2 linked regions of the Drosophila melanogaster genome follow. The protein of the gene in region 2 interacts with the protein of the main gene of each other region in a pairwise test. Each region holds a gene or a part of one and is shown on either strand. Other genes may lie near its edges. The genes, in order: Nha1 and CG14957.

Region 1 (5,121 bases), on a different chromosome or scaffold from region 2:
CAATGGTTGGGTGGATGGGCTTGGATGGAGAAGTAGTATCCGTATTAGTAGCAGCTACCTGTGACGTGATTCACTTTCAAATCTGGTCAGACGACAAACGCATTTCAGTGCTTCGTCTTTGGTTTTTCTTCATTTTTTTTTCTCTTGTAAATGGCACGACTGTTATCCCATAGCCATTGTGTTAATCTAATCGATTGACAGAGTTGAGCATTGTCTACGGAACTGCCCAGCAATAGATAATCAGCAGTGATAATAAGGTACGCGCATTCTTACACAATTAATCCCCAAAGCACTTGAGTGTGTGGAGCGTGTAAAATTTGAGAACAATTCACTTGAATCGAATTCAAATGGAGAGAATACACAGTCGGCCATTTCCACGGATTCTTATCAATCGGAGTCACATGTGACCAATGGCGAGGGAGATATGATGATATTGGACACTTGGCTAATCTCCACTGGGCTTTTTCCGGCTGCGATTAGCCGGTTGTAGGACTGTTAATTGACTTTAGCTGGGAAACATGGAATCATGTTTTTCAAGGTGCAAAGTTATTTAATTTTTTTGTGTATCTATAGTTGCTAACAGCTATTTAATTTTTTTGTGTATATATAGTTGCTAACAGCTTATATGGTTTTAGACACACTTTCACAGTTAAATTACTCCTCGTACTTAAGCAATCGCCAGAAATGAAATGGAATATTTCGAAAAATATCTATTAAAGGTTGTCTTCTGATAAAACCAATGATCACAATGATTCTTTATTGGGCGCCAATAAAACAGAGTTTATTACCATGAATCGGTTCCTGTGCGCTTAACTTCAGATTGACGTCAAAGGAGACGTCCTCCAACTCTCACTTAGCTCCAGTCCAATCGTTCAATTGATCAATTAAATGGGTTTTGCAAAGACATTCGATGCCATTGCTCGAAGAAGTTAAGGAAAATTCTTTAAATAGCGCTCGATTGAAGTTATCAAGTGCTAGATGGCATCGGTGGAATCTTTTATGGTCGACGGATTTCGTTGGAGCTTTCACAAAGTTATCTACGGCTGTATATTTGCATTAATTTATTGCAAATATAAAAGACTTTTGCGATGATGATTGATCGCAGCATGTAGAACATTCATATAATATAATATATTCGCGGCTTATCTGACAATCGACGGCGATAGCAAAGGGCGCTATGGCGAAAAAGATTTAGCCATAAAGATCAAATCGAACGAAAGGCTAAATAAAAATCCACCGAACACTCAAGTTGGCGGCTCGTAAAAATCGAAGGGGCCCATGCTAGTTGTGGTTTGATAAGGGGGACGGTGGGGTAGCGGTAAACCCTTATCGGTGCGCCGGACTACTTAATTGGCTTGATATTGCCCTACTACCCCAACTACCGTGTGGCCAAGTGTGGATTGTGATTGATTTCATACCGAATGCTAAATACGCAGACGGGATCGGGTCCCCCTCCTTAAAATTGGTTTCACGATTGCTATCGGATCGCGAAATATGTGTGTGATTACTCCACTTACGAGTGTTTCATTAACAGACCCACTCCACTCGAATCGAATCTCAATCAGCCATGAATGTTGTTTCTATATAATCGGCTACAGATTCGATTTCGATTTCGCTTTCAATTTCCCCCGAGCCCCCTTCCTTCGAGCCATCGAGCCCTCTTTGGATTTCAGTGTGTCTCAGGTGCTTTCCACTGGGGGTTTATCTGCCTCAATTGCGCGAATTGTTTATTAAAACATTATCAATATCTGTAATCCACAGTCGGATCCACTTCACGCTGTTCTACACTCGTTTCGTCTGGCTTTGGCCTTTGTCATTAGTTCCATTGACAACTGCTAATTGTGGTAAGTGTTTATTGGCCCAATTTTCGAGGCATTCGATAAGATTTGGCCCGTGTATCACTCTTCTCGTTTAATTATGCATGTATTTCCTTTATCATGGTGAGACTTCCTCTGCTTATCTAAACCGCACAAATAATGTACTTAAATGATGGGTATACTCGAGATACTGTTTCGGATAGAGGTTACACATTTTGGTAATATTTACTGCTATCATTAAGGTGTTTTTCGGCACGTTTTGATCTGGATCATTGTTTATTCTATTGCAGTGCACAGAAAAGAATTAAAGTTGAGTATTAATTCATATTAATATATAAGTTATATTACTTCGTATCAATGCAACTTCAAAAGACGGAAACTAAATTTGTATCTTTAAGTAACTGAAGTATCTAAAGTAGAGCAATATACGTGCTATATATCTGTGTATGACATGACAGAATCAAAGTTGAAACACTCATTATATGTAGATCTAATTATTCGAAACGTAGATGCAGAAACCTTCTCTTTGATTGTGATACAATGTATATAATATATAATACAATGCACAACCGTTATACGCACTGCGCATTTCCTTGGCAATGTGATTGATTTTATTGATACTGATACGGAATTAATGCGTTCTGAAACTCGTTCACAGCTTACATTAAAGGGTTAACCCGCTTGAGATGTTCGCTTAATAGCATTTAAATGATGATACAATTGGTAGCACTGCAAATTGATTTTCCTCATGCAATAAAATATTCTTATGCATTCATTTCGAGTTCATTAAGAAATCATTCACATTTCATTAATTTCGGTCAATATGCAAATGGTCAGCAAAACGTAAATAAAGTGAAATATATGAGCAAAATTAATAACAGCTCAAAGTCGCAAGCGGGTGTTTTAATCATAAACGAATGTAATTTGCATTTGCACTGTTTTGGCTGCTTTGGCATTTCGATTGGAGTCGCCATAACAAAAAAAAAAACACGTACAGCCAGAAATGTGAAATATCTTAAGTATTTACTTTATTACAGCCACTGAACTCGAAGATGGGAATGAGTGGCAAAACCTACTTTGTATTCACACGGCGGCCAGGAGGAAATTAGGCAACTTTCGTTGATGTTTCAAATCTGAAAGCACTTTGTCACTTTTCGTTGTCTTCGTGTTTTAATCTTCTTCACTTTTCTCGGAATGGCGCCAGCACTCGACTAATTAGAACTCAGTTAGTCGTTCTGCGTTGACTTTTACTTTCATATTCACAAAACGCGGACCACGGAGGCGGAAAACTGTGGCGAAGTCGAACCGCAACCTGGCCAAAAGCACGACTAAGTCGCTGCAAATTCCTGCCAGCGTTTTATAGGCACACACACACACTCACGTCTGTAAACGCGATCGGAAGAATTGAAGCGAATCGAATTGAAACCGCTCTCTTGCTCACCCATTCATTCACGCACTCACTCACTCACTTGCTCACCTACTCACTCTCCGATTTGCGAAGAATTGCCCGAAGTTATGTGGCTGTAAGTCTTATCTTCTTGTATGATCCACCCACCTGAAAATAAAGGTGGCCCAAAGCCCGCTCTTCTGGTAGAAGAGGCGTAAATCAAGGCGATCAAGCAGCCAATGGTGTAAGCCAACTATATAGCTTCATGTGGCTACTGCACTGCCGCGAGTATATCACGAACTTAAGGCCCTCTCGAGTTGTGCGACCCATAAAATGGTCAACAAAATAATTTCCTCAACGCTTCCCAGGCCATAAATTCAGTTGAGAATTTACCATTGGCAAATGCAATGTCATAACTGGTACTCTTGGCGGTGTGAAAATACATTGTTTATATGGCCCTATATGTGACACGAAAAAGTATGCAATAAAAAATATGATTGATGACCCGAGATAACGATTGGTTTTTCTTTAATTAGGCAGTCTTGAGAAGCTCAATCAATCGGAAATCGAAAGCGCTTGATGGCTTTATGGCCACGTTAATCAATTCGTATTGATATGGTCGCGACGTTTCGTTTGCCCATCGTTTGATGAACTTTAGAGGGGATTTGGTAATTGAGTCACATTGAATGCATGGCGGTGGAAAAGTCAATTAGTTAATTGGCGGTCTAATTGACTTGACTTTACAGTGCTCGTCATGCGTATCAATAATACAAATAGCTTCTAAATATCTAAATACTTGCCCAAATATTATATTAGATTAATCATTTGGCGTAAACAAACACCGATAAAGATGTCACTTTGTTTATTTACCATTTGCATAAAACCCAAATGTATGATTTTCGTTTATTTACCTTACCGAATTTCAACTGACAAATCGCGATACACACAAAACTGATAAACGTGTTCTCTCGCAGACAATGAATAGTATTCCTTTTGATATCTGCGCCATAAACCGTGCTTATGTGTCCATAAACTCCTCAAAGATTTCCACTGCGATTCACCTGGGTAAACTAACTTTGATTAGTGCAATATAAGTACATGATATGCGGTATTTGGGGAAAACAATGTTATAATGAAATCAAATAGTGCAAATAGTGCTTACAATTGATAATTTGGTTAAAATGATTATTGTTATTTTTAGCCAGAGATTAATTTGATATTTCTGACATTGCCCGCATAAAGGTATGCCGGCATAGCATTAAAATTGATTTCACTGCTGCCATTTAATATTTATTGTAAATTTGTTTATCTAATTTCCGGCAATATATTTACCTACTTTCTATCTATGTGCATATTGTTTTCGCAACTCATACCAATTTGCAGCCAAAACGGCAAATGGCCGAATCGAATTCAATTCAAACAATCCGCAAAATTGCAGAAATGTATGAACTTTTCGGATGAAACTTCTCTAATTATTTGAGTGGCAAACGGCCAATGTAAAATGCGTCATGACATCGAGGTGGCTGATGAAAATGCGGCTGGGTCAGGGATTCGTGCGGGGTCTCCATAAATTAACTTTGCCAAAATTACAAACATTTTCCCATTTCCCCCATTAAAACCCAAATCACGGTGCCACACACCAGCGCATACATACATACATACATACATACCCGTGTTGGCTGGACGGGAGTGTAGCAATTTCAATTAAAGCTAATTACAACCAATATCGACTGCCAACAATGTCAAGCATCAAATGCGACGAAGCCACCCAAAAGGAGCCAGCTCGATTGGATGGCTGGCTGCTGGCTGGCTGGCTGGCTGGCTGACTGGTTGGTTGGATGGAAGCCCGGCTAGTGTCATGTCTGGGTCGTGCACTGCGAGAAATTGCGGTGATCCGCTCACAAGGTGTCACTCAGT
Region 2 (3,030 bases):
TAGTACCGAATCGAGTACAGATTCTACTACTTCTGAAATTAGTACCGAATCGAGTACAGATTCTACTACTTCTGAATTTAGTACCGAATCGAGTACAGATTCTACTACATCTGAAATTAGTACCGAATCGAGTACGCATTCTACTACCTCTGCAATTAGTACCGAATCTAGTACAGATTCTACTACTTCTGCAATTAGTACCGAATCGAGTACAGATTCTACTACTTCTGAAATTAGTACCGAATCGAGTACGGATTCTACTACCTCTGCAATTAGTACCGAATCTAGTACGGACTCAACTACATCTGAAGTTACTACCAATTCGAGTACAGAATCAACTACATCTGAACTTACCACAGATTCAAGTACAGATTCCACCACATCTGCCACTACCACTGATTCGAGTACTTCGCCCACAACAACTGAACCATCTACCAGCGTTCAAACTACAGTACCTTCGGAAATAGATCCCAATGCCTATTGTGCAAAGTTGAAGAGCAAAGGATATTTCCGAGTTGAGACTGATACAACGTGTCAAATGCAAGTATATTATTATCAACTTCAAGATGCGTTGGCCTTAAGTTTTAGACTTTCTAGGTATGTCTACTGCTATAAATTGAGTCAGGATTACCTGGGCTGGCTATACTATTGCAACACCAATGAATACTACAATTCGGATACAGAGTCCTGTCAATCCACACGACCGAGCAACTGCTGAGCCTCAACGATTAAAGAAAGTTCATGCATTTTATATCCAGTTAACCATAAAGAATGATCCAAACGATTCTGTCTAGGATTTTGATTGGGAATTTGCCACTGGTTGCTTAGGTAATCGAAAAATATTTAATTTTTGGGTTTTAATGTAATAAATTAATAATACATATGTAAAATCTAGTGAATTACTATTCAAACGTATTTCTAACTAAGACTTTCTCATATTAGACACATCCCGCTGGTTTGCTGATAGTGCAGAATTTGAGATCGGCATCAAAGAATTGCCCGGTCTTGCAGCTTTTGATTAGAGCCCTCGTTGAGTCATTGACTTTATAACAATAGACGTAGCTGAAAGTGAATTTCCATTTAGTAGGTGATAATCCGTATAATCCGCCGAGTTGCTTACCTGACGCATGTGGAGTCATTCTGGTTCGCTATTATGACCGATTTATCCACATTCTGACACGCCTCATCCGCACTCCAGGTGCCCGCGTCCAGATCCTTTAGCGCAGGCGCGGCCCCGGCAAGCAGGCAGTGGACCAGGAGCTATTATGGGGTGGATTCTTTTGATTTGGGATATAGATCCAAGTGCAGTCCTTGCATAGTTACCAGTGATACAATTAGACTCGTCCACATTGTCAATTTAACCTTGCTACACTTCGCACACTGAAACCTTGGAGCGCCAAAGCGGCCTTTAAATACCACAGGATTTAATCTGTAGCATCGTTTATCTCGGTACGCTTTGGCAATGTAATTAATGTTTATTGCGTAGGTTTATTAATTTGTTTTGTCACCCGTTCTCGTACTCGTATGTACTTTGTTTATGGACTTCTCAGATATGTGCAAATTTCTGGGTAAACTCTGGGTGTTGTCAAGAACAATAATCCGGATGTTTTGAATATGTAGAAATGAATCTATTCGCTGAAAACCATATAACGTATAAACCATAAAACTTCCTACAAAAGCATTGCAATGCTATAATTTATTATTACTTTTTATTGGCATCAAGATTTGAAACATTTATAAGCTTTGGGTTCCAAGAAATTCAGATATAGCTCTAGCTTATTGGCGCTGCAGAAGTTCAAAGTGGCATGAAAGATGCCGTGGGATTTAGTTGGTTGGTGCCATTGCAGAACATTCATCTGGAACTTCAGACCGGCACATTTTCAAATTGGGATCAAAGTACTGGTTCACTTTGCAGCTCTTAATCAACGACAAAACTGATCCATTGACCACGTAACAATAAACGTAGCTGATAATGTATAATTTAAATATAATATAATTTTGGTTATTGTACGCCATAGACGTGACCTACGTTCTACAAGTTGGATCAGCCTGGTTTTCCATTATGGTGGTGGTTGTAACTTCGCTGCAGGCTTCTTCCGCACTCCAAGTCTTCGAGTTGTGGTCGTCAAACTCTGGAGCTGGCAAAGCCGTGAGGCAATGAGCCAGCAACTAAAATATATATGTACATATATTTCATTAGCACAGGTAAAAGATATTTTTAAAGACCTCACCAGTAAAAACATTATACGCAGCCACATGATTAGCTTAACCGCACTGCCTTTTGCTTTCTGAAGCATAAGAGCTCCGCGTGGCTCTTAAATAGTTACTGTAGTGGCCTGTTCCCCATCCTATCTTGCCAATTTTAGAAAATGGTATCATATGATTGTTTTATACTAATATTTTATTGGTTTCAATAAATCTGATAATGATCGATTACTGCTGTTAAACGGTCTGACTTAGGTGCAATAATCCGGTTTGTTTTCGCTGCACGATTTCAAGGAAGCATCAAAATATTGGTTGGTCTTACAGTTCTTTATCAAAGCTGTTGCCGATCCATTGATAAAATAACAATATAGGTACCTAGAAGAATGGTTTATGTGAGTTGTTCCCTGGAAATTCGTGGTCTACTTACGTGGTGCAGGTGGGGTCGTCTTGGTTTTGAAACAAAGTGGTCTTAGAGACAGTCAGGCAGGTTTTCTCCGCACTCCAGGGTTCCGCTGTGGTGGTACTCGCCGCTGTTGTGGTCACGGTGGTGGTGGTTGGGGTAGTGGTGGCTATAGTGGTTGTCGTCTCCACGCATCCATCCGGCTTTGTGGCGGTACAAACCTTTAAGCTGGTACTGAAATACTGATTAGCCTTGCATGAAGTGACTTTTGTCGAATGCGTTCCGTCGCTATCAACTGTACAGGTTATAAAACTGAAAAATGAACTCTTTAGTCTAGCATCGAAAACAATTTTCAGCAGTAGGGTATTCACGTGGTGCAGGTGGGATCATCTTCGTTTTCGAAAAAGGTGTTTTTAGTGTATTGC

The links.
Region 1: the proteins of CG14957 (region 2) and Nha1 interact in a two-hybrid assay, tested with the Drosophila melanogaster proteins (one large-scale study listed by BioGRID).

The regions. Positions count from the first base shown.
Region 1 is NT_033779.5:6,867,241-6,872,361, forward strand, and holds the start of Nha1 (Na[+]/H[+] hydrogen antiporter 1), read right to left. Parts: upstream 3,150-5,121; 5' UTR 2,894-3,149; intron 1-2,893.
Region 2 is NT_037436.4:3,185,899-3,188,928, reverse strand, and holds CG14957 (uncharacterized protein), read right to left. Parts: upstream 1,367-3,030; 5' UTR 1,351-1,366; coding exon 1,324-1,350; intron 1,261-1,323; coding exon 1,121-1,260; intron 1,063-1,120; coding exon 939-1,062; 3' UTR 823-938; downstream 1-822. Other genes in the region: CG42525 (uncharacterized protein), read left to right, coding at 1-540, 598-718; CG32284 (uncharacterized protein), read right to left, coding at 1,825-1,966, 2,030-2,169, 2,232-2,258; CG42494 (uncharacterized protein), read right to left, coding at 2,457-2,580, 2,633-2,917, 2,977-3,030.